Arabidopsis thaliana: one gene and its partner. The protein of the gene in region 1 interacts with the protein of each later gene in a pairwise test. Each region holds a gene or a part of one and is shown on either strand. Other genes may lie near its edges.

Evidence for each region.
Region 2: the proteins of TFL2 (region 1) and PAP1 interact in binary tests that used the Arabidopsis thaliana proteins (3 or more experiments, as listed by UniProt).

What each region holds. Positions count from the first base shown.
Region 1 is NC_003076.8:5,826,620-5,831,317, forward strand, and holds TFL2 (uncharacterized protein), read right to left. Parts: upstream 3,142-4,698; 5' UTR 2,919-3,141; coding exon 2,559-2,918; intron 2,246-2,558; coding exon 2,220-2,245; intron 2,140-2,219; coding exon 2,032-2,139; intron 1,920-2,031; coding exon 1,164-1,919; intron 1,082-1,163; coding exon 1,021-1,081; coding exon of another isoform or gene 1,003-1,020; exon of another isoform or gene 933-1,002; coding exon 885-932; 3' UTR 552-884; downstream 1-551. Other genes in the region: AT5G17680 (disease resistance protein (TIR-NBS-LRR class)), read left to right, coding at 1-534; AT5G17700 (MATE efflux family protein), read right to left, coding at 4,406-4,501, 4,582-4,668.
Region 2 is NC_003074.8:5,611,640-5,616,341, forward strand, and holds PAP1 (phytochrome-associated protein 1), read right to left. Parts: upstream 3,165-4,702; 5' UTR 2,570-3,164; coding exon 2,277-2,569; intron 2,066-2,276; coding exon 1,785-2,065; intron 1,693-1,784; coding exon 1,560-1,692; intron 1,341-1,559; coding exon 1,273-1,340; coding exon of another isoform or gene 1,247-1,272; exon of another isoform or gene 1,197-1,246; coding exon 1,162-1,196; 3' UTR 564-1,161; downstream 1-563. UniProt on the Arabidopsis thaliana protein: Aux/IAA proteins are short-lived transcriptional factors that function as repressors of early auxin response genes at low auxin concentrations.

The sequences.
Region 1 (4,698 bases):
TCTGCCTGCATCATGATTGGAGTTGATGGACAGTACCCGATGAACAATCTGAAGATACACTGCTCTTGTATATTAAAAGATGCTGATGCTTGTGAGCTGGTTGTTATGGATGAGGTGTGGTATCCTGATCCAAAAGCTTTCACAAACATGTATTTTGGATCAGATCACCTTCTCTTATTCAGCAGAACCTGCACGTCCATGGAAGCTTACAGCGAAGCCCTGTTTGAATTCTCAGTCGAAAACACAGAAGGAGATTCCTTTAGCCCGCTTGGAGAGGTTAAAAAATGTGCGGTACACCTTATATCACTCAAAGACATGATGCAAGAGTTCTCTAATGACTCTGACAAAATTCAGAGTTCTGATTTGGATCTTCCAAAGGCATTTGATGACGCAAGAATTTTGAAAAGAAGAGCATATGAAACTGAGTTCTTGCATAAGGAACAACTAAATCCCAAGAGGATCAAGTTTCTTCCAGTTCCTTTGGCTCGAGAGCGTCATTCCAAATTACATCAGCGAAATGTCATACGAAAGTAAAAAAAATTACTTGGTTTGCTTGTAAACATAATTATTATATATTGATTGATCACATATATTTTGATAACATCAACATATCATGAACTTGATCTTTGAAGAAGCAAGTACAAGAAAACTTCCGCTATAAGAAGCAAAGGTCCAAGTAACAAGATTTACTATGATAGAGATAGAGAGTGAACACAACGAACCCGAGGAGATAAATTACAATCTGAAACCTCCCGGAGACGCGATACAAAATCCAATTGTCGCTACCTCGACTCTACATGTTGCACTGCTAGAATAAAGAAGCCATCTAATCTTTTCTACCTACAAGGGCTGTGTACAAACAAATTCTTACCATTCCGGATGATTTAAGGCGTTCGATTGTACTTGAGATGTTGCTCATAGAATTCAATCAGCTGGTGTGGGAAAAACAAATTAGAAAAGCTAATAAGAAACTTCCAAATGAGTAAGTGCAGAAAAAAAAAGCTATAAAGATAATCTTACGAGATGAGGATTGTGAGCCTTGAGAAATCTGTTGTCCACCAATGCTTCCTTCCCATCAGACCTATGAGAGTAACCAAATAAGTACAATTGTACAAATATGAAATCAAATTACGAGAAATGACCAAAGAGCTAAAGAGACAAACCTCAGCGCTAAAAAGGTCACCAACACTTCCTGGACATTGTCTGATACAGATGCTGTAAAACTCATTGGTTTAAGTATCTTCGTGATGTCCAACTCCTCAATCTTGGTTTTCTGAGACAAATTACAATTTTCCATCACACCAGGATATTCATTCCCCATCCTTGCAATCCTACCAAAAGAGTCTAATGTAGTCAAATCTGGTGTCAGATTCTGATCTGTAGGTGCTGTGTGGTTGTTACTTGTGGATCCATCTTGTTTGAATCTTTTCACAGAACCAGACTTCCTCCGCTTAGCACCTATGAAACGACTGTTCTTATCAAGCTCCTTAGGATAAACCTTGAGAAGGCCATTGGGTCTTACATTATCACCTTCAGAACCAATGCCTCCTCCTTGAGAACATCCTGCACCGTTACTATTGTTGACTGGTCCTCGTAGCTCGTTAAGTGTTGGATCATATTCTTTCTCATTGTCAATCAAACGAACTTGTCGGGCCATCCCAACACTCCCACTGTTGGCTTCAACTTGGTTGGATACATAAGCATTCTTCGCTTCCACATCTCTATTTAATAGACTCGAACCGCTTAGGTCTAGTGGATCAGGAATGTCAGGAAGGCTAGAGTTGTTGAGAGACGTAGAAGAGTCAGATTTCTCAGTAGCATCATGTGATGTAGATGTTAAACGTTGCTTCTTCTTCATCTGAGAATGAGGACCTGCATATTTGCGCTTCCGTTTCCTACCAGGCTTTCCTGGCTTCAAACTTTGAAACATATGAAACAAGAAAGCAAATCCATACATTAAACCAAGAAAATCCATGAAACAATCAATTCAAAAGTATCACAAAACTTTTATATAAGATTCCATTTACTTACCTTCCCTCAAAGGCATCTATAACATCAGCAATAGACTGGAGATTCTCTAAAGGCTCCCATGTGTTGGCAGTTTCAGGCCATCCGCGCCTTTCACAACCGAGTTTATAACTTATGTCAATGGAAAAACATATGTTTAATCAAGAACAACAAACTTAAAAATGAAACCAAGTAAGATTAGAAAAACTCACCATTTAATTAGATACTGAACCTTGCCCTACAAATACAAAAAAAAAAACAGTACCAAAATGCAGAATCAGAATCATTCAATCAATCAAATCCAAGAAGATATCAAACATTAAAGATCATTTTCTTCCTACAACATATAACAACCACAGAATCAAAACTTTGGTTCGTTATAAACTACTCTGTTACGATGATTACTAACTACTAAAGCAGCCACTTTCTCACACCAATGTGTAACCTACGTTTGATACTTATCTTAAACCTAGAAAACCTAAAACCTCAACTAATTATGGTTAACAAAAACAAACCACATTTGCTGAGTGAAGACGAAAAAAGGAGCTTACTTTTCGAACTCTCTTACGACGAATAGCTTCAATTTCATAAAACCCTTCATCAAGCTTTGGCCTTTCCTCTTGCCCACCTTCTCCTTCTCCTTCTTCATCTTCCTCATCACCTCCATCATCTTCATCCTCGTCCTCTTCTTCTTCTTCATCTCCATCCTCCGTAGGCCTATCATCACCAATCTCGCGAAGAATCGACTCTCCACTTCCACCTCCACCTCCCCCTCCGCCGTCGTCACTGCCAAACCCACCGTCTCCACTAATTTTCCGGCTTTCTCCGACTGTTTCCACCGCCGTCTCCGCCTCACCAGCTTCGTTCAACACCTGGGGTTTCTTCTTAACAGCACCACTTGCCCCTTTCATTTCCTGAGTATTCGAGCCTCCCAAACCTGAAGGAGGAGGGTGAATCAAGGTAATCGCGTTCTCTTCTCTTCTTCTCCTTTTTAGAAATCAAGGATTTTGGAGGAAGAAGATGAAGAAAGATTGAAACTTTTTCTCTATTTCTGAGGTTTTTGTTTTTGCAGGAAGAAGACCTGACCTGACCTCAAAGACCAGTTTTTTCACTTTTTTGGATTCTCTTTTTTTTTTTTTTTTTTAATATCACAATAGGAAAAGTTGAATACAGCAAATTCTTAACGTTTATAATCTAATTAGAAGAGATTATTTCTAATTACTAATATGAAAATAATAAATACTACTGAAGAAAATATGTGAAGGTAAATTAAATCGAAAAATATATTAAACTGAAAACATTTTCTTTAAATTAGAAATAAAAGAACATCGTGCTCTTGCTCCTTTTACAAGGAAATCAACTAGGACATTATTACAACTTAAAAAAAAATCAAAGGAGATTGAAAAATCAGAAAATAAGTCTCATAAACTAAGATTCTCACTCCAAGTCTCCAAGTGCACTGCAAAGGCAGACAACTTAGTTGGATCTCCTAACATCATCATCAATAATTTTCAGCAATATCTCATCCAAACCAACAGAAAAGAAAGTCCTTCTCCAAGATAAACTTCATCGAGATTCAGATTCTTTCATTCCAAAGTATAGTTATCTTGATAGTAACTATGTGATTACTGCTCGAGTTTTAGCCTCAACTTTTGGTGGGCTAAAGTTCTATTTTCTTCAGTTTAGTGTGTTTGTTCTATACTTTGTCCAACCAAAACTTGTTTCTTTGTGATTAGTACTTGTACACTAAATGATGCATGTTTTGATCGCTTTGTTAAATTTGAATTGTTACTATAAAATTTGCAGTTCTTTTTTTGTTTAAACGTTAGAAAAATAATAATTACTATTATTATTTAAAATGGTGATATGAAAGAAGTAAAAAGGAAGAAAAAAAACATTCATTAGGATCGGTTCATAAATAGGGGGAAAAATGGAACGTTTTGACTTCAACATAAATAAATGAGTATTTTATTTGATGGTGAGCTTATGAAAGTTTGTAACGTTTCCTCGAAATATATATGAGAATATTTTTTTTGTAAAAATTCACGATTACAAGCACTCAAACAAATGGAATTTTTTTCCCCACACACAAAATATACATCCATTAAAAAATCAAGAAAGAAGTTAAAATTTCAAACCTCCCACAATTTTTTTTTTGTTTAGAAAGAGTATATCCGAAGAACAAGAGAACAACCTTTTTCTCTGATAAAAGAAAAAGTTCATCCTTCTTAACCTTTTTCAAAGTTATGAGAGTTGCATTAACCTAATAATGCAATCTCAACACCGATACTTCATTCTTAGGGAATGCAAAACACAACCACAATACAACATAAATTATTCTTTCTTTTTTTATAAAGAATTTCTTAAAAGATTTCTTTAAATTAACTTAGTTGTATGTTCACTTTCTCTCTTCATCTCTTGTGGAGATAGTAGTCGATTGTACAGCAGGTAAATTTAGAGTCCACGTTTTCATACGCTCGTTTGTCTTCTTAACCTGTAATTAGATAAAATTATACATTTAATATGACGAATTTTCTAATAAAAATTTTGAGTTATATATTAAAAGTAAATTACCTCCAATTCCCAGTCAGTTTTGTAAATAACATAACACAATATCAACGTTTGGATACCAACTCCAGCCAACATTCCGGACCAGAGTCCCTGCATACAATATCATTTATTCAAGTTAAA
Region 2 (4,702 bases), on another chromosome or scaffold:
CGCAGGGCCGGTTCAAACTTTTTGAAGACCTTTTGCTGATTTATAAAAACTGACTTTAGTTAATATTGGTTTTTAATTTCTGTAATTTTTGGACCCTAAAACCTTAAAGAAAATTGAAAAAAAAATTGAGGACCCTGTGCTTTTGCTCCTCTAGCACTCCCCTAGAGCCGGCACTGGTGCGACATTTTGCAACAAATGAAACAACGGAATTTTCCAACTCATTATGTTGCGGCTATCGCTTTACATATGTTTCGAAAATGTTTCTTTTTTGGTTTGGTTAAAAGTTAAAACATATACCATTATTTAGCTACCAAAAAATGTTATTATCAAACTATTTGGCTGCATCAATTTCAATGGTTATATTGTTTAACCACAACACTCATCTGGTAATGAGAAGGACAACTTCGAATAAAATTTTTAAGATGAATACAAGTCGGCCAAGTGATGCTTGTGGTATGAATATATTTATCACGAAAACAATGTGCTAAATTAAACATATCTATAGTGATGTTTTAGTCGATCCACCAAGACACTGTCCAATAAGTTACAATGTGTATGTATGATTTAAAAAGTCAGGATAAAAAGCTGCTAAATTCTGCACCTAGAAGAACAAAAGAGATGATATAGCCACCAAAATTATCACGACATGGACTGATCTCATTCTGAAAAGTCTTTTTTGAGTTTTCAACTTCCAATCTTATCTTCTTATATACATGCATACTCAGGTTAAATAGTAAAAACAAGAAGAAAAAAAAAGACAACAACAAAAACAACAATAATGGCCTTTCATTCTCAGCTTTTTACATGATTAAAGGTATAGCCAAAGTTGGAAGGAACAAAAGTTAAAAGAGCTTTTACAGAGAATAAAAATTTCATCTTCTTTTTTCAAAAAGAGTTTTGCAGACATGCATGAGATAATTATTACAGTATGTTCTAATTATCTCCTTAATTAATTAAAATGCTTATAAACACAGATTGCTTATGTAATCTCATCGTCTAGTGTCTTGAAGACATGGGAATATCAGATCAGATCAAATGTTTCTCTGGACCAAAAAAAAAGTAAAAAACCAATGATTAACTCTTATATATAACAAAAACCAGATGTACATTTATAAAGCTTTGAGACTCTCTGTCTGAAATAAAAGTTTCTAAAAAGACTCTTCAGTGCATCATCTTCTCTTGCTTACTGCATCCAACTGCAAATATACAGAGGAACCCTTTTAATCATATAGCTCTAATAAATCATCTAAACATATAAGAACAGAAGCTTACATGTCAAGGCAGATGAAATCTCAGAGCTTTTAATCACACGCAGTCTCTTCACAGATGAAACAAACATTCTGTGTTTAAAAACAAAGATTAAAGATCAGTTAGTATGCAAAAAAAGAGGTATAAACAAATCTCCAAGCAAAATTCTATTCTTTAGGTAAAGAATTATCAATTTGAATTACTACTACTATTGATTAAAAGCTGAGAACTTTTGTTGTTATATGATCAAGAATCTAATTCTGCAAAACACTGAATCAGATTCAGAGAACAAAAGGGGAAAAGATTCTTACTGCCATGGAACATCCCCAACAAGCATCTTGTCCCCTTCATTGTCTTCATAGGTTAAAGTAAATTCTCCTTTCCCATCTAATAATCCAATGATAGGTTTCTCTTCTCCTTGACCATCAGAGATATCTCTTTGAGCTATAAACCAACAACATACACAAATCATACTCAGTAAACACAAGTAACACTCCTAAAGAACTAAAAAACAGAATTTGAGATTAAGATTTAACCTGCGAGTAGACCTCTGAAGAGTTTGTCAACGACAAAAGAGAGCTGTTCGTAGCTGTTGTAAGCATTGAGATCAACTTTACGACCAATAGGAACACCATCCATGTTGATCTTGACAAACATTCCTTCCTTCTTGGTTTCAACTTGTTTTTCACCATCATCACTCTTGTTGATTTGACCTCCATGAGAGGATTCGTTACCTAGCTTTGAAGAGCTTGTGCTCGCTAGATTCTTTCTGAACGAACGAACCGGAGGCCAACCCACCACTGGACCAGGAGCAGTTCTTTGAACCAGATATCAAAAGAAACAAGAGACATATGTCAATACCAAACGACAAAAACAGAGCAAAACAGAGTAAATGTTGAAACTTTTAACATGTGAAGGTAAAAAAAAAAACACAGATTGCAGAAGATGGGTCCCTAATGTTCAAGAGAATATCCTCTGTCAAAGCAGTAAGAAAAAATAACAGTGAAGGAAAAAAAAGGAGATTATACCTTTTCTGTGAGATGTGAGGAACAGAAGTGGTTTTGTTGGAAGGAGAGAAGTGATTGCCATTAAAACAGTGGAAAGATTTGTCTTCTGTTTCCTTCTTGATGTTTCTTATCTCTGTGTTCTTCTTCTTGATTGCTGAATGATCTTCTTCATCACCACCGGGTGGTCCAAGCCTTAGCTCAAGTTTCTTCTCCTGATCTGTGTTGTTCTTGTCTTCTTGGTACCATTTCCTTCCTTGTGGAATCAAATCAAGAAGTTTTGGACCGATTTCTCTGTTTCTTGGACAACCTTCCATTGATCAACCCAAGATTCCTTCTATACGTTAACTATGTATGAAATTGAAATCTATAGCTTCACTAAACCCTAAGAACCCCTTTTAAAGAAACAATCCCACAAAACTGAGAGCGAGAGAGAGAAAGAGAGATGTGTAATGAAGGTATGGTAAGAGAGCAGTGGTGGGATTTTATACAAAATCAAAGCTTTTTTTTTCTCTCTCTCGTGCACGCTTTGGTGGGTTCTCTCTCACACAGCCTTACCTTTTTTTCTTTCTCAATTTGTTGTTCTCTCTCTCTAAAGATTCTGAAAGGGACGAGAAGAGAAAAAATAGGAATACAAAGAAAAGGAAATTTGGATTTGTATGAACAAAAAAAAACTCAGAAAAAGGTAAAGCAAAGTAGAGTGACTCCACTTTTACTCCTAAACCCCAAAAGTAGAAATGAAAACTACAATAAATTTACAGATTGCATACCAAGAAAAACAGTAATTGTTCTTGACATGAAAAGAGAATACTGTGAAAAAAAAGAAGTGGGTTTTAACGTTTTTGGTTTTAGGAGTTCTTTTGTGGAGTAAAACACACGCAACCTTGTCTTTTTTTCTGCCTCAAATATCGCTAATTAAGGGTTTGTCTAGTAAAAGAAGCAAAGCGTGCTGTTCTGTTTCTCACAAGTATACGAATTAGAAAAATAATTAAATGCGTAATTCCAATAAACAACTTGACCATTAAAAAAATACTAATAAGAGTAATTAAAATATGATAACAATAAAGGAACTAAGGGAAGATCCCATAATTTATGGTCTGTTTTTAGGACCACTCTCTTATCCACTGTCCATAAGACACATATCCCTATGCTTTTCTAAAAACATTTTTCTATAGGTCGTCATGGTAATTTGATACTTTAATAGTAATACTACCATTCTACAAAGATATACATAAAGCAAATAATAAATGAACATCATGGGAAGATCAATTGAGAGAATTCAAGAAATGGGTGAGGCATTGTATAAACATACGAATCTGCATGGCGTCTCAGTGAGATATATGTAATTATTTATTTATAAATTTGCCACACAATATGTCAATTTGTTAGGTAGCTAAACAATTATTTTGTCAAAAGTTAAAAACAATGTGTACGTGTGGATTACGATGGTATAATTTAATTTGCTTCCCCAACCAAGTAAATAGTCAACTGTTTGTTTGTTTTTCCTAATCAAAAATTTTCTTTTCTCAAATCTACAAAATCAACATATTTTGATAAAAATAACAAAAGAAAAGACTTTAGCAGAAACAATTGTAGTTGGTCCTTTGATCTTAAAAAATGTACATAATTTTGCAGCGTAAATCAAGAACATATTTCAAGTTTTTCAACCAAAGATTGAAGCTATTTTATTTGGTTTTTCAGGAGGGGGAAAAGAATGTACATGTCTCTCCCACGTACGTGTGACACCGATATTACGATAAAGCCGACGTAGAAAAATCTCGAGTGAGAGTTCCGGTCAAGTAAGGAAGGGTAATTTAGGAAATTGAAGAAGGAGTGTGTCTCTAGTCATATCTTGTCGCCGTTTTACCCAACTCCGTGACTTTCTTCCCTCACTGTCAGACAAAACCTTAACCATGGTTAACATAACCTGAACCTCTCCGGTTTAACTTAACCGCACTAACTAGATCCGCACAGACAAACTAGACAGTGGACACATGTTGAAGTTGCACAAGATTTTGAGATCGTACGATAAGGTTTAAATTTGGGCTTTAATCAAAGCCGTAGAAGTGAATAGAGATATAGCAAATGTGACGGCTGTGATTAAAAGAGTACAAAGCAAAGCATCCGATTAAAAAAGTAGCCGACTCAGGAGAAAAGGAACAAAAAAACAACTCGTGAATTGAATGTCATATCAAGGGAAATAAAGAAAAGCAAGTGAGAATAGTGGTGGTGTCAATGATGCTCTTCCTAGAATTTTCACCAAGAAATAAAATTATTTTTATCCACTCACTAATTTTTTTAGTGAACTAAAAAAGGAGTATATGTAAGAAATTGATATCATTTTAACAAAATAAAAAGAGGAATAAAAGAAAAAATAATCCAAATATGGATAAGGTCTGAACTGATCCTCTAGTATAACTGGCCCATGAAAATCACGCTGAAAATGAGCC